2 linked regions of the Oryza sativa Japonica Group genome follow. Each later gene encodes a partner of the first gene's protein in a complex. Each region holds a gene or a part of one and is shown on either strand. Other genes may lie near its edges. A codon is read from its position in the direction of its gene.

Evidence for each region.
Region 2: the proteins of F-box/LRR-repeat MAX2 homolog (region 1) and strigolactone esterase D14 are in contact, whole or in part, in a cryo-EM structure (PDB 8IF6), measured with the Oryza sativa proteins. Residues at the interface, in NP_001411525.1 of Oryza sativa: Gly109 (codon at 7,012), Gly110 (codon at 7,009), Ser113 (codon at 7,000), Ser115 (codon at 6,994), Ser116 (codon at 6,991), Ser118 (codon at 6,985), Tyr596 (codon at 5,551), Ala597 (codon at 5,548), Leu598 (codon at 5,545), Thr599 (codon at 5,542), Pro601 (codon at 5,536), Asp634 (codon at 5,437), Asp636 (codon at 5,431), Val637 (codon at 5,428), His666 (codon at 5,341), His668 (codon at 5,335), Leu696 (codon at 5,251), Met697 (codon at 5,248), Thr699 (codon at 5,242), Arg702 (codon at 5,233); in NP_001404251.1 of Oryza sativa: Asn61 (codon at 7,322), Arg63 (codon at 7,328), Gly66 (codon at 7,337), Ser67 (codon at 7,340), Asp81 (codon at 7,382), Ser83 (codon at 7,388), Leu89 (codon at 7,406), Arg97 (codon at 7,430), Gly107 (codon at 7,460), Ser108 (codon at 7,463), Pro111 (codon at 7,472), Ala135 (codon at 7,544), Arg137 (codon at 7,550), Pro211 (codon at 7,863), Asp217 (codon at 7,881), Pro219 (codon at 7,887), Ala220 (codon at 7,890), Val222 (codon at 7,896), Gln223 (codon at 7,899), Ser226 (codon at 7,908), Arg227 (codon at 7,911), Asn231 (codon at 7,923).

What each region holds. Positions count from the first base shown.
Region 1 is NC_089040.1:2,933,192-2,948,384, reverse strand, and holds F-box/LRR-repeat MAX2 homolog, read right to left. Parts: upstream 7,347-15,193; 5' UTR 7,337-7,346; coding exon 5,174-7,336; 3' UTR 4,604-5,173; downstream 1-4,603. Other genes in the region: probable thiol methyltransferase 2, read left to right, coding at 8,287-8,440, 8,989-9,119, 9,703-9,789, 11,674-11,774, 11,847-11,946, 12,723-12,769, 12,910-12,988, 13,292-13,345; proteasome subunit beta type-5-A, read left to right, coding at 14,183-14,311, 14,426-14,555. UniProt on the Arabidopsis thaliana protein: Component of SCF(ASK-cullin-F-box) E3 ubiquitin ligase complexes, which may mediate the ubiquitination and subsequent proteasomal degradation of target proteins. Promotes the senescence. Is necessary for responses to strigolactones and karrikins.
Region 2 is NC_089037.1:5,462,504-5,476,851, forward strand, and holds strigolactone esterase D14, read left to right. Parts: upstream 1-6,940; 5' UTR 6,941-7,141; coding exon 7,142-7,665; intron 7,666-7,756; coding exon 7,757-8,189; 3' UTR 8,190-8,497; downstream 8,498-14,348. UniProt on the Arabidopsis thaliana protein: Involved in strigolactone signaling pathway. Does not move long distances acropetally in the plant to regulate shoot branching and is rapidly degraded in the presence of strigolactones.

The sequences.
Region 1 (15,193 bases):
AGTGGCCTCGGGGCCGTCCTGGGGGTCGGGGGCTCCTGGCGTCGTTGGACAAGCGGGCAAAGGGCCAACTCCGGCCGTCAGGGGCCTTAGGCCACCGTTCGGCTCGGGGGCCTCTTCTCCCTGCTGTCTCCCGGGTCGAGTCGGCACAGGGTTAGCCTCGGGGTCAGAGGGCGATAGGTGCGGCCTTCCCGCAGTGGCCCTCGGGCCATCCTGGGGGTCGGGGGCACCTGGCACCGTCTGACAAGCGGGCAGAGGGCCTGCTCCGGTCGTCGGGGGCCTCTCCTCCCTGCTCTCTCCCGGGCCAAACCAGCACAGGGTGGGGGTGCGCGGAATGAGGATTGTCCTCATCGCGCTCCACAACCAACGCCGCACTAACCACTTGCGGGGTCGCCGCTAAGTAGAGTAGCAAGGGTTCATTTGGCTCCGGGGCGACCAGAACTGGGGGAGAGCTGAGATACGCCTTCAACTGAGTGAGGGCACGTTCAGCTTCCTCCGTCCAAGTAAACGGCCCGGAGCGTTTGAGGAGCTTAAATAAGGGTAGCGTCTTCTCTCCCAGCCTCGATATGAACCGACTTAGGGCGGCCATGCAACCGGTGACGCATTGCACATCCCTAAGCTTGCTGGGGGGGCGCATCTGCTCTATAGCTCGTATCTTCTCGGGGTTGGCCTCGATGCCTCGGGCAGAGACCAAGAACCCGAGAAGCTTGCCCGCAGGTACACCGAACACGCACTTATCGGGGTTCAGTTTTATGCGGGCGGAGCGGAGACTCTCAAAAGTTTCCGCTAGATCCGAGAGTAAGGTCTCTTGGTTGCGCGTCTTTACAACCAAGTCATCAACATAAGCCTCAACATTACGTCCTATTTGGCTACCCAAAGAAATTCGAGTAGTACGTTGAAAAGTAGGACCTGCATTCTTTAACCCGAAGGGCATTGTCGTATAACAATAAGTTCATATGGGGGTAATGAATGCAGTTTTTTCCTCATCCTCCCTAGCCATGCGAATCTGATGGTAACCAGAGTATGCATCTAGAAAACACAAAAGGTCGCACCCCGCTGTGGAGTCGACAATCTGATCTATGCGAGGCAGGGGGTAAGGGTCCTTAGGACATGCCTTGTTAAGGTCGGTGTAGTCGATGCACATCCGAAGCTTGCCGTTCGCCTTGGGAACGACCACTGGGTTCGCCAGCCACTCCGGATGGATGACCTCGCGGATGAATCCGGCCTCCAAAAGTCGCGCCACCTCCTCGCGGATGAAGGCTTGACGTTCCGGGGCCTGCCGCCGTACTTTCTGCCGGACCGGCCTTGCGCCCGATCGCACGGCAAGACGGTGCTCAATCACCTCCCTGGGGACCCCGGGCATATCCGCCGGTCTCCATGCGAAGACGTCAGCGTTTGCCCGCAGGAAAGAGACGAGTGCGTCTTCCTATTTGCCGTCCAGAAGACCACCGATCCGTGTGGTCTTGGACGGGCTGTCGCCCAGGGCAACCTCCTTGACCGGGACCTCGTCGCATGTGACTATCCGTTGCCTCGGGGCGGCGGGGGCGGATGTGCTAAGCCTCTCGTCGCCACCCTCGGGCTTGGACGCGGCGGTGAGGTGGTCCGCGCGCTGCTCCATACAAGCAAGCGCGACTTTGAGGTCGCCATGGACAGAGATGGGGCCACGAGAAGCAAACCAAATAAATAGTTTTTGAGGAATAAATGTGGTTTTTTTTCTCTCTTAAAAACTGTTGAATTTTCAGTGGCATTTAATAAATCGCCCTTAATTTCATCTCTTAATATAAAATTAAGCACGAGAAGATTTTTTTTAACTATTTCAGTCGATGGATTAATTAAGCTAGCATGCTGCAAGATCACAAGCGATGCTTCCAATTTCTTCCCTTAAACAAGACGTGTCACGTGTACTTGCGTGACCTTGCTGCAGAGGGAATCAACCTTCGTAATAATCAATTAAGGCGTGTACTTAATTACCTATACACGTGGTCTTACTTACATGCCATAGTGTTATCGATTATAATTAGTAGTCTACCCACGTGGCGCATTTTCTCGAATTACCCCTTTTAAAAAGCAATTTTTATAACTAAAACCCTCGCAAAAACTTTCTTCGGCTGTGTTTAGTTTCTGAAATTGGGGAGAAGTTTGAGAAAAGTTTGTAGTTTGAAAAAAAAGTTACGAGTTTATGTGAGTGGAAAGTTTTGGATGTGATGTGATGTGATGAAAAATTGGAAGTTTTGGGGAAGTTTGGTGTGAGCTAAACAGGACTGGCGTCGTGACATTTAAGCATACAATGTGTTTATGGATTATTATGGTACGGTGTCACAGGATTTGATACTGTATAAATCACGTAGGATGGTCCGTAAAGCTACTTACTTTTCACAAAGCATATCCTACGCAGTAGGTTGCACAACACCTAATCATATAGTGTTGTACTTTATTTATATACACCGAGTTAAATATCATCGCTATATGTTTAGGGCCTATTTTTGGAAAAAAAGTTCTATCAAACATAATGATATAATTTTGTTAGATTCCTTTATGATACAACATGCCTCGTATTCTTCATATTCTTTAGTGAAAGATACATGCTTAACAAAATATAATGGAAGATACAAGCTTAACAAGATATCTATAGTAATTTCGTCAACCTCATGAATAATATATTGATAATAAATTAATCTCTCGAGATATATATGTTTTGTGTTTACACGTGTCTCACGAAAGTAATTGTAACATATGTTTGTAAAAGGATCGATTGTGAAAACCACTCCTCACGCACGTTGTTTTGCTAGCATCGCTAGCGCCGTCAGCATCTACACGGCAGAAAGCTACTGGTGTACTGTACAATATTATCATCACAAGTTAAGGTTGTAAAAAAAAAATACCAACATATTCCAGCACACACATATTTTTCCTCTGAATTTTCTCCACCAATTAATCAAAATAGAGGTCCATAGGACTATATCCTTGTCAGTGCATGACGACATGACGGGCTCCATTTGCTTACTTAATTACTCTACATGACCTCAAATTAGTAGAATCACATTCACATTCACATCAACCTTGACACCATGGTGAAAAAGCCAATATGACATATCTGGGTGCAAACAAAAGAGTGAGTTGCATAACCATCACAAGGATAATTTTCTTCCATACACCTGGAAGACAAAGCTTTCACTTTTACCTTTACTTTGCAGTTGGTGCATGCATGCATAGATGGATAGCTGCATATGCTGACTTTACCTGATGTCTCTGTACTGACTCCTTTAGTTTTATACAAGGCGATAAGCCTAGTAGGCTAGTAGCCTCACCTCACTCGCCGGCTAATATCTTTTGCAGCATCGTCTGAAACCCACTTATCCTTCGAGCATCTGATGAGTATCTGACCTCAGAATCATCGCTCAATTCTATCGGAAGGCACTTGCAGAATATTACTAGCTGATCATCAGATGAATGGAAATCCACGGCCGCCACAAAAATATCTGCTTTAATTCTGATGAAGAGAAACCAGGGAAAACAAAAAAAAGAGGACAGCAGGAAAGGGAGGTGCAACCACAAGGCTGCAACTGACTGCCTGCTCATATGACATCTCTCCTGTCACCAGCTTTGCTTTCAAGACATTCTGAAATTAGATAGGTAGCAAGAAGCGATCAGCACATTAAATATCCAAATGTATAATAATATTGCAACAGATAGTAATGAGCGAGTTATGCAGATGTACCAGCAAGATAAAATGGCATCAAGGAGCATCTGAATTTCCAACACATATCTGCCAAATGTTGATAAATAACTAAAACTATGAGCAAATAATAAGTGTGTGTATGTGCTTGTGTGACGTGGTTGATTGACAATCATGTGAGCAATAAGCCTCAACGTGGCAAAAGAGGAAAGGAGAAGCTTCTCCTCTACCTAATCTACTCCTTCTAGAGGCCAGCTTTTAATCCTGTAGTAGTACTTGCTTAAGCATTATTTTGTGAGGCCTCCAGCTGCTTAATCAAAAAAGCATTATTGCCCTTGCTGATGGATTAGGACAAGAGAGCTCTCTCACTCATGGACGACTTCTTTTTCCATGGCACCAAGAATCGTCTGGATTTGCTTTGACAAAACCAGTGATCTCGCATTATCTTAACTAGCTGAATGGAAGAGGCAAGCAGAGGAATTGGATAAACCGGCTTCTAGTGCGAAAATCTTTTTGTCATGTTCTGATGCTGATCTTGTTCCGCACGTCTTTCTTGTCATGCTACAGTTTGAGGATGAGATGAAGCAAAGGCCAGGTCTCCATTGGGGATCACTGCAGAGAACGAATCAGCAAATGGTGGTAGTCAGTTCTGATGGAACTGATTGGTTGTTCCTTGGAAACTAAAGCAGCTTTCAATCCTGCATAAAAAAGAGAAAACCTTTCAACATTCTATCAGATTAAATCCTTACTGCTGTGTATTAAAGTAAACCTTGTTGTAGCCGGTGTTGCAACTCAACATGCCCGATAATGACATGCAAAACTGGCTTGCACATCTGCACACGCCATCCCATTTGTCACCAAGCCTGTGCATGAAATGGAAAAGGAAAGGGACAGAAATAAACTCAAAGAGCAAAGGCACATAATTTTGGATTAATAGAGCTGTTATGTACACATCAAAATAGTTTCCTATCGCAGTAGTACTGAACTCCGTTGCCCATCCATTGAAAACAGTAAAACACTGACCAATATTAGATGAGCCACTTTCACCCATGAAGCAAAGGGCATAAGAAAAGCGAGTGGCGTTTTTCTTTTGTTTACAGAGTTCAAATGTTACAAACCGCTAGAACCATGCCAATTTGCCAATTACTCTTGCCGGTGTTCACAACTCAGACCATCTTAAAAACAAAATGTTTTTTTTTCTTGGAAAATTTTCCATGAAGCCTAATTTATAATCTTATCTCCTGCAAATATCTCATTTCCGACCCAACTCTCTTATTACATCAAAAAGGGGGTAAAAAAGCAACTGGAGAAGGTTACTTTGCTGACAGATCCAAGTGCTGCCAGTATACTACTCTCCTCAATGGCACTGCAGCAATACACACGACTCCACCCATAATCATAACCAACTCACCAGGAATCCCCTGCCATTGCACAGTGGAGCAATGGCACCATCCAGATAAATCTCTGTATTCAGCTTCAAACCATTTTGTGCCCACATAACTAATCATCAATTTGCCGGCTGTTCAGTTGCACCTCAAACCTAAGCCAAGATTCAGCCCGCATCTCTGTGAACATCAGATCATTCTCTGGGGCTGGATAATAGTCCTCCCGCAACTGCATGTCCCGCAAGTTTGGAATTGAAAGGAAGAAGGTCATGAAGTGCTCATGTGTGGTGCCATGGATGAAAAGCTTCCTGAGTCCAACGCAGCGTTGGATCAATCCCACGGCTGGCAATGTCAGGCTCCGGTGGTGCACATCCTTGTCTTGGGGCGGCCAGTAGTCCAATTCATACAAAGTCTGCAGTGATTCGATACCATGCAAATAAAATCGCTCCCATAGTGAAAGATCCATCTGCCCTGTTGGTGCAGTAAGTGCATAACCCACAGCTTCACTGAGGTCCAATTTCATCTTGGCTAATACTGGGAAGCCTGCAAGATCACTTAAGCCAAAAATTGTTCTTGGAGCAGGTCGTGGGCATGTCCGGCAATCACCCTCCACCTTAATTGAGATCTCCTCAAGCACGGGACAGCTATCGAGACCAGCAGAAATGAGCGGAGAGAGAAGCTGGCCAGCAGAGAACCATAGGGAGAGTGACCTGAGCATCTCCCAGCTTCCAAGATCATCAAATTCCATGTACCTACATTTCTTGGCTGCAGACTCGTACACTTCACCAAGCTCATCATCCTCAGGATCGCATTCGGTGGTGGTGCCATTTGCAACACTGCAGGGTTGTTCGGTTGTGTTCCAGACACAGTTGATCTCAAGACTTTCAATGCGATCACGGATCGGACTTAGAGCAGTGAGACATTCTGCAGTGTGCAGAAGCCGGCAGTGCAAGACAGTGACTTCCTTGAGAGTAGGCCGAAGCGTGAATGCAAGCCTCCTGATCCCAGCCGAAGTGACAAGGTCACAGCCATGGATGCCGAACTTAGCAAGCCTCCGGCACCCACGGCCAATTGCCGCAAGGCTGGCATCCGTGAGATCCTGGCAATTCTTCATGTAAAGTGACTCCAGCCCACCGCACACCGCAACACCATCAAGATGCAACCAAGAGGCCTTACACAGCCCCTGGAAGGAACCCAGGGTCAAGAACTTGATCCGCGGGCACCTTCGGGCAAGCGCCTCCATCGCGGGCGCGGCCTCCAGCACATTGTGCTGGAGATCCATGGTGAAATCCTCCAGCGCGGGGAGCGCCGCGAAGAAGGCGACTAGCCCCGCAACGGTGATGGCCGCCTCCTCCCTCTGGATGTTGGCCGCAGCCTCGAACGGCTCGCTGAGCCGCAAGACGGTCAGCCGCGGGCAGCTGGTGGCCAGCGAGAGCAGCGCGTCGTCGCCGACGCAATCGCTGAACCGTGGGTTGAACAAGCATGGCGCCACGAGCTTGCGGAGGTTGGGGCAGGAGGCCGCGATTGGCCCAAGCTCGGAGGATTTGAAGCCGTCGGTGGCGGCGGCGAGGCCGAGGTCGAGGTGGGTGAGCGCCGCGGTGGCGGAAGGGTGCGTGGTGAGCGCCCTCACGACGTCCTCGGTCCAGCAGTAGAACTCCGACAGGTCGAGCTCCCGGAGCGCGGCGCAGGTCTCCAGCAGCGGCTCGAGATCCGCGCCGTCGGGGAGGGTGGGCGGGCGCTGGTGCCAGCGCACGAGCTTGACGCGGCGGAGGGAGGCCTGCCAGTGCGGGGTGAGGTTGGCGAGCGTGGTGGGGTCGCGGCAGTAGACGGCGAGCGAGGTCACCGCCGGGAAGCAGCCCGCGAGGCGGGCGGCGATGAAGGCGTTCTGCTCGGAGATCGCCTCGGGGTGGTACACGTTCATCCCCGACGACGACGACGCCGAGGGCGCGCCGCCGCCGCCGCCGCCGCAGGGCGGCACGGAGGAGAGAAGCGGATGCCCCCACGGCGAGACGAGCGAGAGGTCGAGGTGTTCCAGCGCCGGGAAGCGGAACGCGTGCGAGAGGAACAGGAACCCCGGCGACCTCGGGTCGCCCCTCAGCGAGAGCTCCGACCTCGTCGCCCGCTCCGCCGCCCGCATCCTCCCGCACGCCAGCGCCGCCCTGTGCCGAGACCTCACGTCCGTCAGGAAGCTCAGGATGTGCAGCAGCAGCGGCTCCGGCAGGTCCAGTATCGCCGACGACGAGGACCTCCCCTCCTCCACCTCCTCCTCTTCCGCCATGGGCGACGTCTACTCCTCTCTCTCTCTCTCTCTCTCTCTCTTCTTTCTCTCTCTTGCTGCCGTTGAGGGATTTGGGGTGAAGCGAGTGGGGACGAGAAGCCACACAGCGAAGTGATATACTCGACAGCTCTCCCTTTTTTTTTTCCTTCTTTTTATTTTTTTGATAATTTTATCCTCTTATCCCCTTCGGATTAAATTATTTCGTCTCGTTTCGTTTCCACTTTTATAATTACACCCTCACCTTTTCCTTTTTTAACAGTACCCTCCGTTTCACAATACTCCATCCGTTCCATTTTAAGTGCAACTTTCCACGCTCAATTTGATCGTTCGTGTTATTTATTTTTTTTTATAATTAATATTTTTATTATTATGAGATGATAAAACATGAATAGTACTTTACTCGTGACTTATGATTTTAAATTTTTTTAAATAAAACGAAATCAAAGCTGGGCTCGGAAAACCATGGCTGCACTTGAAATGAGACGGAGGGAGTACAGGTTATTTCAGGTTACAAAAGTTTGACTATATTTATAGACAAATATAGTAATATTTATAATACTAAATTAGTTTAGCCAAATCAATAATTGAATATATTTTCATAATAAATTGTCTTGGGTTAAATATGTTACTATTTTTTTCTATAAACTTGGTTAAACTTTAAGTTGTTTGACTTTAAACGAAGGGAGTATTTGACTCTTTTTCTAAGTTAATGTTGGTTGATAAGATTATAAAAAATATAGTATGGTTTTTAACCCAAAACAAACACATTATTAAAACATATTCAATATAAGATTTAATAAAACCAATTTAATATTTTATATATTACTAAATCTTTTCTATAAATTTGATCAAACTTAATAAAATTTCACTAAAAAAATCATTCCATTTATAATATGAACCTGTATGAAACGGAGGAGTAATTAGTCATTATCATTATTATTACGAGCCGTATGCACGCGCTGCCTCGCTCTCGCCTCGGCTTCGGGTTCTTCGCGTCGATGAGCTCGTCGGCGGCGAGGGTGGGCGGCGGCGGCGGAAGGGACCCGAGCAATAACCCGGCGGTGGGGAGGCTGCGGGAGCTCGTGCAGCGCGGGGACGCGGCAGGTGAGGATGGATCGGGCTCTCCCCCTCGCTCTCTCTGTCTCTCTCTGGTGGTTGTTGGTTGGGGACTTGGGGGAGTTGGAATTGAGGAGAGGGGGGGGGGGGGGGGGGGTTTATAGGTTTGGGTCATGGTATCGCATGTGCGGGTGGTGGTGGGTGTGGGCGGATTGGATCATTGAGTTGGGGGCGAGTAGTTGGGGAAATTTGTTTGGCCTAGTGTTGAAGAGGAGGAAAAATGAGGCAGTAGAAAGGGATTCTTCCGGTGATTCCCTGGCGGCTTTGCTGAAACAGCATTGGTTGAACTCAAACTATGGTTGTCTCATTGTATGAGCTAGGACCACAATTTTGAGGAGAAGATTCTGCAGTTGGAGAGCTTGTTTGCTCTCTGAAATCATGCTGAAGTTAACAACAGATAATGTGGTTTCGCTGAAAGAGAAGGATGATGTTGAGATTATAGAGTAGATTGTTCTACCTTGTGGGTGCTTTCATTTTATCATGTGGATACAGCATCCTGACTTGGAATTGCTTGTTCTTGAATGTTGTTGAATCAGATGGCTGGGAGAAGTCGTGGGAGGCCGCCGTAACCCCGTGGGATTTGGGGAAGCCAACACCTATCATCGAACATCTCGTTAAATCAGGAACTCTCCCGAAGGGGAGAGCTCTGGTTCCAGGATGCGGCACGGCAAGTGAATCAACAACCCCATTTGCCATATGCTTATGCCTGCTTTCTTTTCCCCGCATGATCATTGATGCTTTCCTTGTTCTTGTTCCTGCCCAATGTACAAGAACAATTATATTATCGGTTCAAAGGATATCCAAGGATTATTGTAGGAATTGAAACTATAGGATTTTTTTCCTCCATGTATCATTCATTTCATAGGATAGATCCTACCAAATTCCTAAGTATTGTAGTCTTACAACCTTATTCCATATGATTCTTGGCATGAGGTAAGATCTCTTGGAAAAATTCCTATGGATTGGAGTGCACGTGGCATCCTAATCTTTTACTTTTCCTATTCCTATGATTTGGAAATCCTTTGAATCGAATATTACGAGGGTCCTGCCTGCTCGGTTGTTCCCTTTCAATACCAGTTCAGAGAAACGCCTAGGGGTCTTCTGGCTAGCTCCACAAGGTGGTGAGCTAGACGACCTGGGTTCGAAGCCTCACCCCTTTTAATTATTTGATATTAGGTCCTTCCCTAATATTCGCGTCTTTCAATACCAGTTCATGAAACTTTTCCAATGGAGGCGCTTCTGTGTAACAGGGATATGATGTGGTTGCTCTGGCAAGCCCTGAGCGATTTGTTGTTGGCTTGGATATTTCTAGTACAGCTGTGGAGAAGGCTAAGCAGGTGAGCTGTAGTCGAGTTCTCGATATCACTTATGAGAAGCTATGTTAACTTAATTAAGCTTGCAACCTAGTGAAAGACCAAGAACAGCTATAGAGGGGGGGGGGTGAATATAGCAATTCAAATCTTGCCCCCGAAAATACTCATCAAGCCGGATTTCTCAAAATCCTTACTAGAATCGCGGCTATTAGAGAAGCCGGATCTAGAAAAGAAGAGAGAAAAAGAAGAGAAAAGGAATTCCCGAAACTAGAGGAGGAAGAGAAAAGGAATTCCCGAAACTAGAAGAGAGGTGAGAAAGAGAGAGCAAAACTCATCATCGCAAAGTTCAAATTGCAAGCGGAATTTAAATTGCGGAATTTAAATGGACAAGGCAAAAATGAAATCCTTCAAATCATTTCATTTATAGGTGATGCAAAATAACCGCTCAACTAGGAGCAAACATACACCTTCAGAGGAACATTAACACAAACTTAAAATCTCTCGGACAAACACACTCCAAACTAATCCTAATACAAAAGCCTCTCGGGCAAACACACTCCAAACTCACACGGAAACTCTCTCACCGAGCATCTCAAAATGATTACCAAAAGGAGCAACCTCCACCCTTGCATCCATCTCTCTATTTATAGCCTAAGACCCCTAAGACATTGTCTCAAATACCCCTAGGGCGAAACCCTAACTCAGAACAGATCTGGTCCATCCATTGTTCCTTCTACTCAAAGGAAAAGCTCCAGATGATTGCCACCTCATCGATCCGAACCCTCACATGGTCTTCTTGCTGATGAATCCGCGTGCTCTCCGTCTTGACGAATCCAAACTTGCCACGTTGCCCAGCCGCGTCGTGCGCGTTCCGTCTCCTTTTCCTCAGCGCGCGCTCGCCAGCGCCCAACCAGCCCGAAGCCGCCACGCGTCCCGCTGAGCCGCTCCCGCGCGCGCTTGCAAAATCGCGTGTGGGTCCCGCGCTCCTGCACCCGCCTCCGATCGAGTCACGCGAAACGGGGGTTGCCGCGTACGGTTTTTCCGCGCGCGTCCTTGCGCATGCAAGCTGCCTGCACCTCCTGAGCCCATGCGCCATGGGCCGCCGTCTTGGGCCGTCGCTGCTTGGACGATGCAGGCCTGCCGAGCCGAGCCATTCACCATCTTGGGCCACGTGGAACGGCTGGATTGGCTTGGCCTCCCTGCCAACCAATCACAGCGCACATGCACAGCTAGCTAGCTTGACTTTTCCACCGAGCCATGCTAGTAGCAACCAGTACAGTGCAAGCTCCTCCTTGCACAAGTACAGTACGTGTACATGCATGTATGCTACCTACAGCAAGTACTGTAGCAGCAATGCACTTGCACAGTCCCTTCTGATTTCTTCGCGAATCCGATGCTTGCACACTTGACCTTGTGAAGCCTGTTGCAAAGACCTTTTCACACGGTGTTCGTCCACCGTGTGCAACCTTGTGTCCAATCTTGTCACCCGGCATCCTTGATCGCTTTGGACCTCAACTCCTCCCTGAGTCTAGTCCCGATCCGCCGTTGACCAAGATCGACCCCGATCACCTGCACACACATGAACCAAACAACCGTTGTCTTGGCACAGATGTCGCAACCTGACCAACGTTAGTCCACACACACACTTCTTGCACATCCGGTACTTGTCAATTTCCCATCACAAAAGAACTATAACCACACATGGTTTCACACCTAGAACTTCACAGATACTTCACTTTGAACCCCCCCCCTTTTTTTTTGAAAGTTAGGCAGGAGGATTGCCTATTTCATTAATAGGGAACTTTTAAGAACATTTCAGTACATAAATGGTAATATAGTTTTTGGTTAGACCCGTTGCTCTAAAATTTATATAGAAGTATCTAATCCTTTTATCCGTTGGTATACCAGTGGTCATCATCTTTGCCAAATGCAGACTGTTTTACTTTTCTGGCTGACGATTTCTTCAAGTGGAAACCAAGTGAACAATTTGATCTTATTTTCGATTATACGTATGTGCTAATTTTATCCTGTTGATTTCGTATTCTTGTGGCATCTTAAATGACCTTTATTAATATACACAGGTTCTTTTGTGCACTTGATCCAAGCTTGAGGTTGGCTTGGGCAGAAACAGTTAGTGGGCTTCTAAAACCTCATGGAGAGCTAATCACCCTTATATATTTGGTAACTGAAGAATCTATCTATTCTTTTGTTTACTTTTCCATTGAGGATGTCATGGTACTAATCATATCATATTGTGCTGAGGTCTGAGGCTTGTATTCATAGCCTATCCTTCTGAAGACATAGCCTCGTATGCACTCGCTATTTCTGAAGACAGAAAATAGAATTTAGGTAGGGTTAACTATACAAGTTGTCTTATGGACTGTTATGCAAGGAGCTAGCAATGTTTATCATGTTCTGTTAGATTGACAAAAGTTTTGAGGATCAACATAGTGAGTTATTTTCTACTCTTTGGCTGCTATTTATGATAGCATATACATAAATGGGCAATGGGGAAATTGATTAAATTGGTTTTCATAGCTTGGTGTAAATCAATGAGGTATTGCCTCTAGTTTTCCTAACTCGAGAGCTTTCAACAAGCAGCCAACTTCTGGCGGCCGATTTCTTATTTAGTCATTTCTAAATCATGCATCTACAGATATTAGGATGCACCTGAAAAGTAGGAAATTGGTTTTGAGCAATTAGCTGAAGCTATTTGTGCATACTCTGGTGATATTACAAACGGACCTGCTAAAACTTCTTTTGACATCATTCCAATATATTTTGCTTCATCCATATTGAGGCAGTTCTCTAAAACAATAAACAGAACTAATTTCAGCTCGTTACCCTAGCATGCACCATCTGTCAAGTGGGTGTAAAATTAGTTAGGAGCTAGCAATTCACTTCTTTTGATTTAATAAAACTGTTTTGTTCGCCGTAAAGAGAATCTCTTATTACAGATCAGTGACCAAGAAGGAGGACCACCATTCAATAATACAGTCACCGAGTAAGTCATTTGTTCCCTCGCCCCCAGGGCAGACATAGGCTTTATCTGAGAACCTTCCGTTTTTCTGTCTTTGTGATGCAACTTTGTGTTGTGCAAAAATCTTACCCAGTACTCTTGCGTTGTCCTTTCCGCAACCACAGCTATCAGAAGGTTCTAGAACCATTGGGTTTCAAGGCTATTCTCATGGAAGACAATGAACTAGCTATCAAACCGCGCAAGGTACATGATGTTTTTGTTGAGTAGCTTTGTAAGACTCTTCCTGTCCTCAGGATTCATTGTCATGGCCTATCCAAATCACAACATTGTCACTTACATGAATGATTTCTCAACTATGTTATAGTCTTTAGATAGTTTTTGCAAAAGCACAAGAGATTGTGTGCCTTTGAAACTTGGGATTTGTTACTGATTCCTGTGGGAATTGATTGATCTAACATTCTAACTCCTACAAAAATCACTGTAAAAATCCTGACTCCAACTATGAGGGCTTGCGTTATTGTCTTTGATTTTTGACATCATTTTTAGGGTCAAGAGAAACTGGGAAGGTGGAAGAGATTTGTACCCGGATCTTCTCTATAAAGAAGGGATGCAGCGTTCATGTTTCTTTCTTGGGCTCGCTTTCGTTGTCGATATTCAATTCTTCATGTTCAAGATCCAAGAACATGTGTGTATGCGTGCAGTCCAAGACTCAACAAATGTACTCCAAATAAGCTCGCGATGCTGTCAACTTGTCGTTGTCAGGCGATTTCAGCATTCAGAACAAGTGAACAGCCTAGTCTTGCAGCTCAAGATGTAACTGAATGAATTAGGGACAAAAGGAATAAAAGATCCTAGAAAAATGAAGGCACTATAACTGTATGACTGCATGATGGATGAAAAATAATCTGAACACTAAATTTCAAACTATTTGAAATTCTGATACAAAAATTTGCATAAGATGTACAGAATCATAACATTACCGGATACTTCTACATGAGAAGACATGTCTGCATCTCCAAGGAAAACGTATCACGCACTCACATGTAACAAAGTGGCAAATAATAAATTGTTAAAATTTCCAACTTTCACTGAATTCTCGCGCATTCAGAAAAGATCCACCCAATTTCACCTGCTTTAGCCTTTCAGTTACCCGTCGAAATCTCAAACGAATCCGAATAGTCAAGCAGCAATGCAAACATGGGCCTATCCGACTCGAAACAAGCCTGTTCCTCTGACAGATGGGCCATGGGCCCATAAAGCGGACCCGACCAGGAAACGAAGCCCAAACCCCCCGCCTCTCTCCGCATAAAGCCTCGCCAAGCAAAGCTCTCGGAGTCTCGGGTTCTTCTTATATCGCAAGAAAGGAAAAAAAAAAAAAAGAAAAAAAGAGAGAAAAAACTCACTGCATCGCCTCCGCCTCTCGCCGCCATCGCCGCGATGAAGCTGGACGTCTCCGCCATGGAGAACAACTTCGCCGCCCACGCCGCCGGCGGCGAGGACGACGGCGGCCTCTTCGGCGCCGGCGCCGACCTGCCCGCCATGGAGCTCCCCACCTGCCCCGCCGACGTGAGTGCCCTAGCTTTGTCGATTTCGATCCCCTTTTGCCGCGATCTGATTCTCTTAAGTTTCTAAACCCTCGATTGATCTCTGGTGGTGTGTGTGGGTGGGGGATGCGGGCAGTTCGACGGGTTCCAGAAGGAGACCAAGGAGATGCTGAAGCACAAGAAGGGAACGACCACGCTCGCGTTCATCTTCGACAAGGGCGTCATCGTCGCCGCCGACTCCCGCGCCAGCATGGGCGGATACATATGTGAGCGCTCGGCCCTCTTCCTCTCTCGCGCTTCGATTTTAGGGGCGTCTTAGGGTTTGGCAGCTGCGCTTAATTTGTGATGTGGTCGTGTGATTCGGGCCTGAGAAGTTTAGATCTTAATGCGGAATTTGATGCATTGGTCTGTCGATGGGTGGAGTAGCAAGATCTCATACTTATAGGTGCATGGAAAGTTGCGGACTTGTGGTTATCTACGAGATTTGTGTTCTCCAGTGATATTTAGGTTTGGAATTGATAGGGAGATTCTTAATTCAATAACTAGACTAGACTAGAGTAGGGAAATCTGCATACAGTGGTTCTTTTACACTTTATCAGAGAACGAAGGAAACTAGTTGGTAGTGTTTGGTTATGAATGGTGTGGTGAAGGCTTTATACTGTAAACTAGTTTATTTAGGAAGATAGTTTACTTTATTTAGTGTTAATGGATAGCGTAGAACTATTTGTCGACAGATTGGGATTTGATGTAGTGTAGATAAGCTAGGTTTCTGGTGGGAAAAGGTTTGCTTTGAAAAGATTTACCCTAGGATGCAAGTTGTGTACAGTGGTACATGATGAGTCAAATGTTTTGCGAAGGTCAGGCTTTTATGCTTACCTATTTATCATTTATGCTCTTTGTGCTT
Region 2 (14,348 bases), on another chromosome or scaffold:
ATTGGTTCTTAAGATTAAACAAAAAAAAAAGGGGGCCACCTAGTTGGGGTTTGGAAGGTAGCACTAGCTGGGCAAAGCTTGGAGAGCATCAGCACGCGAAGCTACACGCCAATACATGATGATCGATCAGAGGACTTCGTTGGATCACAGAAACAAATATTTTTGGCTTATCTTTGGATGAAGCTGTGTGAAGGTGCGACCCAGCAACAAATGCTGTTGCAATTGAGCTCGCATAAGCTCCCATTGATCGACGGCGACGTGCCAATGGTTTCACGTGGGTTATGACCAGGACAAGCTCGTGGGTTCTTATCCGTAGTCGTCGCGACACACTGCCTTTTTTTTTCTCGGTGTTCAATGGAGTAATGGACCATGAGCTATAGCTTCTTTGTCTTCAACATATTATACACCTTTCGTGGGCTCCTTGGAATAGATGAGCTCACGCGAAAATTCTACAAAATTCATGTGTTCATTTTGAATCTAATTAGATAATTATTTAATGGATGAATCTCAATATAGAACCAATAATATGAGAAAAACCAAGTGAAGCTCTCTTCAAGATGTTTAGCGAGATCTTTAATTCATTAGTATCAGAAATGAACCGCATAACAGTGTTCGTGCGGTAGTTTGTGTGTATGATGCATCTTCCATGTAATTGAAAAATAAATGAAAATTTGTGGACTCAAAGAATCAACTGAATTATTCACCAATCGAGATAGGATCTTTCAGGATTGGGTGTCTGGTCCATGGAACTTTTCACCCAATGAACTTGCAACTAGTTCAAGTCTCATCCAATGAACAGCAAGTCTGGCCGAGCGTGAGCGGTCCAAGAAAGCAGCTGGTTTAGGTAAACCGTTCTCTTTCCATTTTATGTGGCTTTGACAAGCATAGCGCACCAGGTGATATTTTTTTAAATAAAACCCTATAGGAAAATCACCTTATTTACTAGTGAATTTGGTTACATACTAAGCCAGATAAAAACCATAAGAATCGGTAGCATCTTTTTAAAAATGATGCTCGATTGGTCGAGAAATGATCATATTATCAATTTTTATATGTAGCTAAAGATAGTTCGATTGGAAATGGTACCAGCTTCATCTCTCAAAAACCACTCATCATGCTTGGAAGAATAGTCTTGGATCGTAGTGTACCAACTCAGATTCAGATTCCAGAGAACATGAAAAACTTGGTAAAGAATCCTGTATGATTGTACCAGACGGTACGGTATGAGGTGAGTACATGCTAAACAGCTACGCGTAGTAGGAGTACTAGTCATTTGTGTGCCTAAATTATGCTATTCCCTCCATTTCATATCATAAATTATTTTATGGTTATATTCTCTCCGTCCCATTTTAAACGCAACCATAAGTTTCTTTGTGCAACTTTAATCGTCTGTATTATTTAATTTTTTAAAAAAAATAAAAAACATAAGTCACGTATAAAGTACTATTCATATTTTAGCATCTAATAACAATAAAAATATTAATTAAAAAAATTTAAATAAAATGGACGATCAAAGTTGAACCCAGAAACTTATGGGTACGCTTAAAATGGGATGGAGGGAGTACTAAATCAAATCTTCTTAAGTTTAAAAAAGCAACATTTTTAACTTGGAATAAACTTGTAAATATACTATAAAAACATATCGAACGATGAATTTAATGAAACTACTAAATGTTTTCATCTGTTTTTGATTAAGATATAGATTTTACCTCAATTTTCGTTAGCACGCTTTTCAAACTATTAATCGTTGAATTTCGTCCGAAAACTTTCGATATAAAAGTTGCTTTAAAATACCAGATGAATCTATTTTCAAGTTTTAAATAATAAAAATTAAATTAATTATACGCTAATGGTTTTCTTGTTTTACATCCGTGTACTTAAGTTTTATCTACATCACTACCAAAACATTACCTTAAACTTGTTATAAATGTTGCTATATTTTTCTATAAATTTGGTCAAACTTGATAAGGTTTGACCTATGATAAACTTAAATTAACTTATAATATAAAACGGAGGGAGTCCCAAACCACTACTCACTAAAGTATAACTACTTTCAACAGTATAAATTCTATCTAAAATATAACTACTTCTCTACCTACTCCATATCTTAACTAATCATACATTTAACTTTCTTCACTTAATTCTAATCTCTCATCATTTACTCTACAAGCTGATCAGCCATAAAAAATAAATGAAGCAATTAAAATTGATCTATGGATAAAACTTGTATATCTTTGTTCTTAGTGCTTTTAAAAGTCGATCCTGAAAATTAAACTACGATGCAAACAATCTCAAAATCAATTCTAAAATTAAATTTTAAATTTTAGCTATTATTAATAAACCAACAAGCAAAACAATTTGTTTACTTATTTTCTCCACTTATTTATTTTTTTAAAAAATATATAACCATTCCTCATTCGATTTCACAATTATCCATGGTCTCCGTGAAAAATTCTAAAGTGATTACATGTTGGGAAGGAAGTAAAGAATTGATCTACGAATCATATTTTTTTTAGATAATAGAATGAAATAGCATCCCGGTCTTTACTCAAAAGAGCTACAGCCAATTATTACAAAATAGCACTCTGTAAGAGTAAAATCCAAATAGAAGCAAACACACCAACCAAACTAGACAAAATAACATTATTCTAGTCTATTGGTAAATCTCCATTCATGATTGGCAAACAGTTGTATAATCTTCGTTTCAAGCTTACGACATGCAACAATTAAGAAATCTGTATTTTCATCACACTTTTGTAACTGTGACAACAGATGAAGCCAATATGTTGCCTTGAAAATGACCTGCATATAAGTAACAGTAAGTGATTTATCAAAAACCCTATCATTTCTACTCAGCCACAGAGCCCAACACAAGGCAGAAGCTCCAACAAGTATCAGTTTGCTCTTTTTGTTTATGACTCCCTGAAGCCAATCATCAAAAATATGAGATATGCTAGTAGGAATATATAAACCAAAAGAAAACTAAACTGCTCTCCAAATAAACTTTGCAAAATGACAATCAATGAACAAATGTTGGATAGACTCATTTTTCGTACAAAAGCAACATCTTAAATTACCATTCCAATTCCGTCTTGCTAAATTATCCTTGGTTAACACAACTCCCTTAAGCAAATACCACATAAAGATCTTGATCTTAAGCGGCATCTTGAGTTTCCAAATTAACTTATTTCTGTCAATGTAACCATTATTAATTAAAGCTAAGTACATTGATCTAACTGAGAATTGGTCATTCTGATGATAGTTCCATCTAAAACAATCAGAAGTATTATTCAATTGAATATGAACAATAGATGCACACAATTCATGCCAAAGTGTTAAATTCTGACCAACTAAAGCTCTCCTAAAAGAAACATTGAGCGGAACAGAAGCCATCACACTAGCAACAGAAGAACTTCTCCTTCTGACAATAGCATATAAAGATGGATACTTTTCTCTAAAGGCCATATTTCCTAGCCATCTATCTTCCCAAAATCTTATTTGTTCCCCATTATTCACAATCCAAGAACCCATAGTTAAGAAAGTGTTTTTGACATTCATGAGTCCTGACCAAAAATGGGAGTCACCTTGTTTCCTGTCAACTTGGGTTATAGACTTATTATAAAGATACTTTCTCTTCAATAGGTCTTGCCAAACACCATTTTCATTTATTAACTTGAACAACCATTTACTCAAAAGACATCTATTTTGAATATCTAAATTATGAACCCCCAAACTCCCCTGTTCTTTGGGTTGGCAAATAATATCCCATCTAGTAAGTCTATAATTTTTCTTATGGTCATCTCCTTGCCAAAAGAAACGAAATATATAATAATCAATCTTTTGAAGAACCCCTTTCGGAATCTCAAAGAAAGATATCATAAACATAGCTAAACTTGAAAGGACAGAATTAATCAAAACCAGTCTACCCCCAACAGACATATGTTTTCCTTTCCGGCTGCTAAATTTTTTCTCTATTCTTTGTTCGATAACTTTCCAATCATTATTACAAAGCTTTCTAAAATGAATTGGAATACCGAGATATTTAACTGGAAAAGATCTTAACTTACAACCAAAGATATTAGAATATTGCTCATAACACTCCTTTTCCTGACCAAAGCAAAATAACTCACTTTTGTGAAAATTAATTTTCAAGCCAGATAATTTCTCAAAGATAGACATAATCAATTTTAAATTCTTTGCTTGTTGTAAATCATACTCCAGAAAAATGATGGTATCATCTGCATATTGCAAAATAGACAAACCATCATCCACTAGGTGAGGAACCACCCCATGAAGAGATCCATTATCTTTAGCTCTTTTAATTAGTAAAGCTAGCATATCAGCAACTAAATTAAAGAGAATTGGAGATAGAGGATCCCCTTGTCTAAGACCTTTATGCGTTTGAAAATTATTACCAGTTTGATCATTAACTTTAATACCAACATGACCACCTTGAATAAAAGAGGCAATCCACTCACACCATTTAGTAGAGAAGCCTTTCATCCTCAAAGTCTGTTGTACAAATGACCATTTAACCTTATCATAAGCTTTCTCAAAATCAATCTTAAAAATTACAGCACTTTTGTTTTTACGATGTAACTCATGCAAAGTTTCATGCAAAATAACCACACCTTCCATAATATTTCTCCCAGGAATGAAAGCAGTTTGAGTAGGACTAATTGCCTTTTGGGCAACCGTCATGACTCTATTTGTGGCAACTTTGGTAAAGATCTTAAAACTAACATTAAGTAAGCAAATAGGCCTATATTGCTGGATTTTCATGGCCTCAACATACTTAGGTAAAAGAATGATCGTACCAAAATTAAGAGAGTATAAAGGCAAAGTATCATTATGAAATTCTTTAAAAAGATCTAATAAGTCACATTTTATGACATTCCAGAAAACTTGATAAAATTCAGCAGGAAATCCATCAGGACCCGGTGCTTTGTTATGTTCCATTTGGAAGATCGCCTCATTAATCTGTTTTTCAGTAAAAACATGCGTTAAAGCCTCATTCTCCAACTGAGAAACTTGAGGAATGTCAGCAAATTTATTCTCATCAAACTGAAGAGTAGAATCATTAGGAGGCCCAAATAAACCTTTATAATAAGTGGTAATATGCGATTTCAAATTCGCATCACCATTTATTAATTGGTCACCATCATGTAATTGAAAAATTCTAGTCTTCCTATGTTTTCCATTTGCAACCAAATGAAAATATTTTGTGTTAGAATCACCCTCTAAAATATCCTTAGATTTCACCCTCTGATACCATTTAACTTCCTCTTCTCTCAGAATTGTAGATAATCTATTTCTACAAAACCATCTAAAATCCAACTCCTCCTGACTCAAAAGCATAGTTTCTGCCTTTTTATCTAGCAAATCCAACTTATCTAAAATCTCCTTTTTTTTCTTTTTTGTACAAGCCACTAGTATGTTTAGACCAACCCCTAAGATGCTGTCTTAAACGACGAATTTTCGCCTGCCACCGCTCCATGGCAGAATTGCGTTCATCAACACTAGACCATATCTCCTTTACCATATCAACAAAGCCATCACGTAAAAGCCAACCAAATTCAAACTTGAAACTATGTTGAGCATTACTCAAAGAAGAAGTGTTTGTATTTAAAAGTAAAGGAGTATGATCAGAAATATCTCTATTAAGAGCCACCACAGAAGATAAAGGAAATTTATGTTCCCACTCCGTGAACATTAAAACCCTATCAAGTTTCTCATATGTTGGATTCACTAAATTGTTTGCCCAAGTAAATTTCCTACCAGACATCTGTAACTCCCGGAGACATAACCCATCAATAATAGCATTAAAAAGGAATGGCCATCTATCATCATAATTATCATTATTCTTTTCATCAGGGCTACGTACGTAGAATATTAAAATCACCACCAATAAGAATTGGTAAGGTTTCATGACTGCACATATTAACTAATTCAGCAAGGAATTGATCCTTAAATTCACTTTGTACTGGCCCATACACCAGAACTAAAGCCCACTTAAACTTATCAACTTTATTACATAAATGAAACTTAATGTAGAAATCTCCCTCATCAATCAAACCAATATCAACATTAATTAAATTGATGCCCAAAAGCAAACCACCGGACCTACCTCTATGAGGCTTGCAATGCCACAAAAATTATTTGCCAGCACACAGATTTTTAAGAACAGCCGGACTAAAATCTTTCTTAATAGTCTCTGACAAAGCAATAAAATCAAGGTGATGTTCCTTTGTTAAATCAGAAATAAACTTATGTTTTTTCGGGACCTTAAACCCATCACAATTCCAGAACAACCCTTTCATTTAAAAATATTCTTTTTTTTTCTTTCCCCTTTTAGTCTTTTTCTTACTATTAGGAGAGGTATCTAAAGAATATAAAGTGGTCTAAGAATAATTATCATCCACACCACTAAAATCCATCACCTCCTCCATTAATTCACCACACAAATGTTGAAGTAGAGAATTATCATCCACCTGATCATCCAATATCTCGCTATCAACATTTGAAGTATGTACCTGATTAACAGAAGAACTAACATATTCACTTAACATCTTTTCCTCTATACTCTTTAAATCATTTATAACATCATCTAATATGTCTACAACGTTTGCTGCAAAAATTCCCTTAACGCTGATAATCAAACGCTACATTACAGACACTAACAGCGACGTTCTTAGCTTGTCAAAACTCTCAACTACGAGTAATATTAATTGCAGTGGCATCTCTGGTTGGGATTGTGAAGTCAAAAAAAAATAAAACAAAACGATAAGAGAAAAAAAAACTTCTCCTGAGAAAAAAAAATCCAGAGAATTATAGGTGCCTCACTGCCTCTCCTTTTTATCTGCTGTGGATTGGATAATTGGACATGGAGACAAAACCCAAACACCCCCCTAAATAACTGAAGCAATCACACACCTTCTCTGCAAAAATCCCAATCTACCACCGCACCCAACGAAGCTTAAGACAGTGGAATAAAGCAGAGAGAGAAATCAAAGCAAGAAAGAGAGAGAAGAAGCGAGGCAAGAGTCAAGACCATCTCCCATGGCCAGTGGTGATAGTAGTAGTAGTAGTAGTATATAAAAGGGGAGCGCGCCACGGCTTGCCAATCCGCCGCGCTGGTGTGATGCTGCGATCGACGCATCCGCCGCCCAGTAGCCCGAGCAGCAGCAGCAGCGGCGGCGGCGGGGGCGGGGGGTCGTCGGCGTCGTCGAGCTCGGAGAAGACGATGGTGGGCGGCGGGGGAGGAGGGGGAGGAGGGAGCGGGTCGGCGGCGCCGAGCGGGGCGAAGCTGCTGCAGATCCTGAACGTGCGGGTGGTGGGGAGCGGCGAGCGGGTGGTGGTGCTGTCGCATGGCTTCGGGACGGACCAGTCGGCGTGGAGCCGCGTGCTGCCGTACCTCACCCGCGACCACCGCGTCGTGCTCTACGACCTCGTCTGCGCCGGCAGCGTCAACCCGGACCACTTCGACTTCCGCCGCTACGACAACCTCGACGCCTACGTCGACGACCTGCTCGCCATCCTCGACGCGCTCCGCATCCCGCGCTGCGCCTTCGTCGGCCACTCCGTCTCCGCCATGATCGGCATCCTCGCCTCCATCCGACGACCTGACCTCTTCGCCAAGCTTGTCCTCATCGGCGCCTCTCCCCGGTACGCTCGCTTCCACTGATGTGAATCCTTTCTCGCTCTTAAAATTGAATCTGATCGGGGGCGATCGGGGAGCACGGACATGTGTGTGCAGGTTCTTGAACGACAGCGACTACCACGGCGGGTTCGAGCTGGAGGAGATACAGCAGGTGTTCGACGCGATGGGGGCGAACTACTCGGCGTGGGCGACGGGGTACGCGCCTCTGGCGGTGGGCGCCGACGTGCCGGCGGCGGTGCAGGAGTTCAGCCGCACCCTCTTCAACATGCGCCCGGACATCTCCCTCCACGTCTGCCAGACCGTCTTCAAGACCGACCTCCGCGGCGTGCTCGGCATGGTCCGCGCCCCCTGCGTCGTCGTCCAGACCACCCGCGACGTCTCCGTCCCGGCCTCCGTCGCCGCCTACCTCAAGGCCCACCTCGGCGGCCGCACCACCGTCGAGTTCCTCCAGACCGAGGGTCACCTCCCCCACCTCAGCGCCCCCAGCCTCCTCGCCCAGGTGCTCCGCCGCGCTCTCGCCCGGTACTAATCCAACGCCCCCCGCACGCCACCGCGGCGCGCCGCGCGTGCGCGTAGCCGCAGCGACGAGTCAAAACGAAGGAGAAAAAAAAAAACCACCGCAGCTGCGGCTACGGTACGTGTGGCCCAGTAGGGGGACACGCATCCCTCTACTGTTTTTTTTTTTTTACCGCGTCGGATTTTACTGCATTTTTACCCTCCTCTTCTCAGGCCTAGAAAATATTTCGGCGCGACCTGCCAAGACCGAGAGTGTACTGTAGCATTAGTGCTCGATTTTTACCTACCTTACTCTATTGGAAAAAAAATTACATTACTGGAGTGCTTCGTGCATACAATTATTTTTCTTTGTATTTTTTCACTCGCCGATTGGTGATGGTCTGATTGATGGACGACGCCGTGGGCCTTCTCACGGCGAGTGTTCGCGACGGCGCACACGGGTTCGTTTGTTTGTTTCTTCTTCCTCCTTGTCCCGGCTTGACGTCTTGTCGTTTCATTTGTCAATATCTAGCCGCAGTAATTTTTTCTTCGTAGTACTAATATGTTCAATTAATTTAAATCGTATCATTATTTGTTATTAACAAATATATAACGATATTTACTTTGTTATATAGAGAATTTAGCAACATCATATTTAATTTATCCTATCAAAACTTAATAATGTTGTCAATTTATCAAATTTTTGATAATATAAATTTTTGAAAATGTTTATTTAGGCAGTAATTTCTACTGCTGCTGTAGAAATTACCCTTCATTTTTTGTACGGTTAAAACGTCTCAAGGAATCGTCGGTTGTGGGAGCGGTAGCAGCTAAGCGATGGCAAATCATTGTCAACGACATGCATGGCCCATCTTATCGCCATTTATATCGCCGATAAGGAGGTTGACCCTGCCATCTAACCGCAGCCTACGGCCCCCCAGAGAAATCACAAGTCGCCACGTGTACCAACCTGATTAGTCACCAGTAGCTTTGTCTGCCCCAGTTGGCCACTACTCTCTCGGTCTTAAAAAAATCCAATCTAATATAAGGACGGACATAATCTAGCACAACAAATCTAGATAGTCTTTTGCCAAGATCTAGATAGTCTTTTGCCAAGATTCGTTATGTTAGGTTACGTTACATCTCAATCCTAGCACAACAAATCTAGATAGTCTTCTGCCAAGATTCGTTATGTTAGGTTACGTTACATCTCAATCCTATGTTAGTTTTTTTTGGTACGGTCCATACGGAGGAAGTATGTTCTTGCTGAGAGATTCCTATGCTCTAACCTTACCTACACCTGCCATCTCAAAAATTTGGTAGCCTTTCACACGGATAAAACGAGATGGATAAAAAGATTGCTCTATAAAATAAGAGCGGGTACAATAATGAACGGTATTAGTTTCACGTAGGATTTTGTGATGAATTGGAGGAGAGGGGGGAAGAGAGAGCGCCCACGACTAATTTGTCGCCGCACGCGCTGCTTAAAGAAGTTGTGGGGCTCGCCTGTAGATGAAGAAGCATTCCTACATCAGCCATGGTTTGCGTTGGTGCTGCTCCTCGATACTCCATGGCTAACGCCCTTGTCCATCGTGTCCATTGGACTGTCACCCTCGGCTTGGCCGGCGCCGACTCCCGCATCTACCCTAGCCGCCATCGTCTCTCGCGTTCACCAGACAACTGAGCTCGTCTAGCCCAGCTGTCACCGTCTTTGCGTCCGCCGCACATGCACCGTTACCTTCCGCCTCCACCACACAGCCGCCTTTGTCTTGCACGACAACCACTGTCTCTTGCGTCCGCCAGACCGCCGTAGTCACCTGCATCCGCCAGATCACCGTCATCGTCCATCCTCGCTGACTGCTCAAGCCCAAAATCGTTGACGAATCGAAGGTAAGAAAAGGAGAAAGAGAATAATACAGGAAATGATGAGGTATGAGGAAGAAAAAAGATGGTGGATCCCATAAAACAATAAAATATTTATGTTATAATATTCATATTATAGGTATTAGTTACTATGCTTACTATAGATGACACGGTCAGCTAATAACATGCTATCTTAACCTTGCTCTAAGTGAGGAATATAGATCGAGACTTGTTGGGACTATAATTAAGTTAAGTGGTAATTTTTTTTATCTTATAAGTAATTGGTTGATATATTTAGAAGAATCTGCTATATTTTTGAACGGTCTCCGTTAACGATGTAAGTACCTTTAAAATTTGTACACGAAATTTATAAAGTATTCTATCTCCTTTCAACCACCTATCACTAAATTCTCGTCGAACCACAGGCTTCAGCCTTTCATCTTGTCTAATCAGAAGATGGCAACCGCACTTGAATAAGAGGCATCAAAAGTCTTTTATTTTCCTTCTTAATAATGTCATAACAATCTTAGAAATGCTCTACACACGTGGATGGACTATGGAGGGAGTAGCATTACTATCTGAATTTGATTGTCGTGTTTTTTTTTCTTTCAGACGATGTGGGCAATCTTGACACTGTTTTAGGATGCTCTACGGTGCGCGTCTGTGTGTGAGAGTGGTTGTGTGGGCTGTGGGTGGGGGCCTTGATGGGGAGCCAACGTGATGATCTGCGTGATGCCTAGCTTTTGATACGGTAGTTGTGGTGTTGTTAGCTGGCCAAACCAAAGCCTTTAAGCTTGTGGACAATAATCAATGCTGATGGATAAATAACAGTTGATCATGGAGTATTAGCATTTGGCCTATCTAGTAGTCCGCATATTCTTATCCACAAGTGATAAGTATGGATTATGTCTGCAATCAGCGTCTTGCTAGTTGCTACTATGAACGAACCAAGCCAAACTAATCCAATCGAGTTCGTGCTCCGTAATACAGTTTCAGCCAATTGTCACGTAACGCCAACTTTTGTGAGCCCCATCGAAGCCACATCAATCAGTCACACACACATGTACACACGAGCTGTGAGCACACCCTGGTTATCCATGTAGTATGATCCATGGATCATCTTGCTGGATGTGTTGCGGCAGAGAAACCAGCACAGTGATAAGCAGTGTTACAACTTTTTTTTTTTTTGCGGGGAAGCAGTGTTACAACTTGCAAGCCTGTTGCTACAGTGCACTTTCATTATTTCATATTTGTTGGATTGAAATCAAGCCTAGCTCAGCTGGGTAGTTTCGTTGACTCGTTGTGGACTTGTAACCTGACCACCGGTATGATTTAGCGATGTGTAAATGCATGGACAAGGGGGGTGGCAAAGAAACGAAGAGGATAGGTGAAAAAGGAAAGGAGAGGGATTGGGAAAGACGACACATGGCCATTTTGGATGAGACCAAGTTGCAATTTGGTGCATACACTTTCGTCTAAAAAATCAACTTCTAATCTTCTACAGACGTATATGGACAAATATTTGTTCAGATATATCTTTGTGATGATATGAAACAAAGAAGAAAGTACAAGGTAATTTTTTTCATCTCAATATATAGTAACTTAGAACCGGATGAAACTATAAATATGAATAAATCATAATTAGGAGTAGATATCAAGCCAGCTCGCCTCGATCTAGCTCGTTAGGATAACTTATCCAAACGAGTTAAAAGGTTGACTCGGTTGCCGGCTCAAGCCAGCTCGTTTAGCTTGTGAGACCGAACAAGATATCGAAATTAGGATGGAGCAAGATACAACTTTTTTTTTGAACGACTCGCACGAGACGGTGCGAAGTTCTATTGATAGAATAGGAAAAAAAATACAGGATTAAAACCTTGGTAGATCGTAACCAAGAAAAAAGGGGAAAAATACCATCACCCACACACCGACAGCGCCAACACACAGGTCCAGGAGAAGGCTGACACCGGACCGGTCGCCACTACGCCAACAACGAATCATAGACGAGATCGCCAAAAAAACACCCTTACAACCAACACAAAGCCCAACTCTATCCACGTCTTCCAGATTTAGGGAGAGAGGGTGAGAGAGAAGAACATCTGTCCCCGCCCCTAGGCTCTCCGACGTGGCAAATTTGTAGAAACTAGGACGCCGCCACAAGAGGATGAGAATCTAGAGCGTGCATGCACCAATTGTTCGAGTGGTTCGGCAAGGGGATGCCTAAACGACGTCTCCAAGGAGAGAAGCGACGAAAAGCCGCTGACGTCGTCCGTCAGGGTCTCAAAAGAGCCAAGACTGGGCTTTCACCCGGCAACCACCCTTAAGGGATGAGACAGCACGACAACGCTCTCAGGAGAGGGAATGACACCATCGTTGTCAGTCTGGCCAAGGCCGGGTTAGGTTTTCAGCCGCCGCTCACCACCTGCTCCACCACCGACCGATGCTCCACCATCACCCAACTCTGCCGACATGTCGGACCACTTCACCGGCGCCCCCCCCCCCCCCCCCCCCCCGCCGGCCAGCCTTCGTACGCCGAATACCGCGCCACACCTACCGGCAGCTCCTCGCACCATGGTCACCTCCTCCTCCGTGAGCAGGCCTTATCACGCTGCGCCGACCTCCTCCACCACCGGACGCGCCTCATCGCGCCAATCCGGCCTCCCACCACCGTTCGTGTCCCTCACGCCAAGCCGGCATCCACCATAGTCGGGCATGCTTCTCGCGCCATGCCGGTCTCCACTGCCATCAGCCGTACCTCTCTGTGCCGAGGACCAGCCTCCGACCCCTCCTCCAATCGCTGTCACGCTGGCCAGATGCGGCCGTCTGCCACGCCCCCGACTAGCCATTCGAGACCGTCGTGCCTCCTTCCATCGCAACCACGGTCGCCACCGCCGTGCCTCCTCCCACTGCAGCCACGGTCGCCACAGCAGCCGATGCTGCCGTCGGCCAGCCACCTGCTGTTGCCGCTGTTGCCACCGTCGCCACAAGCTCCGCGCCACTGTCGCCGCTGCGACGGCCTCTCCCGCCACGAGTTCACCCCGTTGACGCTGACGCTGTCGCCACGAGCTCCGCAGCACCGCCACCGCCGCAAGCTCGCCCCACACCAGATCTGCCCTCAGGAGGGCCGGATCCGTCCAGGGCGGCTCCCTAGGTTACCCAAGCGTGGTCCCGCCGGCGAGAAGCGATCCCCGCCGCCGCCATCCTTGCAGCCGCTGACAAAAGCCGGCGGCCGCTCAGGCGGCGGCGAGGCGGAGGAGAGAGGTGGGGGAGAGGGGGTGGCCGGAGCTCGCCTCCCTAGCCATCCCCGGGGAGGGCGACAGGAGAGGTGGGGTTGACGTTCCTTGATTAATTCCAAGATACATCAAATTCATAATACTATGCCATCATATATGGGGAGAGTGGGAGTAAGGTTCTCTGCTCTCTAGCCTGCTCTCTAGAGCGGGCCCCCTCTCCGTTGGGGTATCGAAGGAATCCCGATCCCTGTACGCGATAAGATGGGGCCATGCCATGAACCGGGTCGGCGTCGTGCGTGCCGCGTACGTACACATCGCCTTGGTTGTGCCTAGTTGCCCTATAGCCGCAGCTTATCCTCCCCGTCGTAGAGGCGACAACCGACGGCGAGCCATCTCTCGAGTCCGAGGCCCTTCCGCTTTTGTCGTGCCCGGCGCGACGTTCCGTGCCACATTCATCGGCCGCACGTCGCGCTACAGCGGGCGGCGCTGTGTGCCTGTGTTGGCTCGCGGCCAAAAAGCCCAAGAGAGGGGAGGCTGGGAGAGGCCCCCCATCTCCATGTCGAGTCGCCACATGCAGTGACCAGTGATACAGTCATATGTACAGTAGGGCACTATGCAAGTATGCAGGTAATGTGTTGGAGGCACACGCGCACGGGCGGCGGAGCCGGCGGGAAACACTGCAAGGTGCATGAGATTGATGTGAGAGACGGCATTTTGATCCATTGTTCGTGAATGTGGATAATTTTTACCGTAATTTTGACAATTTGACCCTTTTAAAAAACTTATTTTGAAATTGAATCATCCCAAAAACTAATTTCAAAATTAGGCCGTTTTCTCAGCGCCATATAGATTAGCGCCGAGATGTCATCCGAAGTGTCACGGATTTTACACGTCATCCGAGGTCATCGCCAAATACTCTTTGTTCAATTTACAAATATTAGTTATCTACAAGCTTCCATTGCACACACAAAGACAAGAAAGCTTGGTGAACTCTAGGTGCTAAATACTGCGAGGTAATGGGTTCGATCCTCAGCCAAGCAAGTATAAGCATCTTTTGCTGTTCTATTTAAAAATCTCACATGCTTTTCAAATTCATTTTA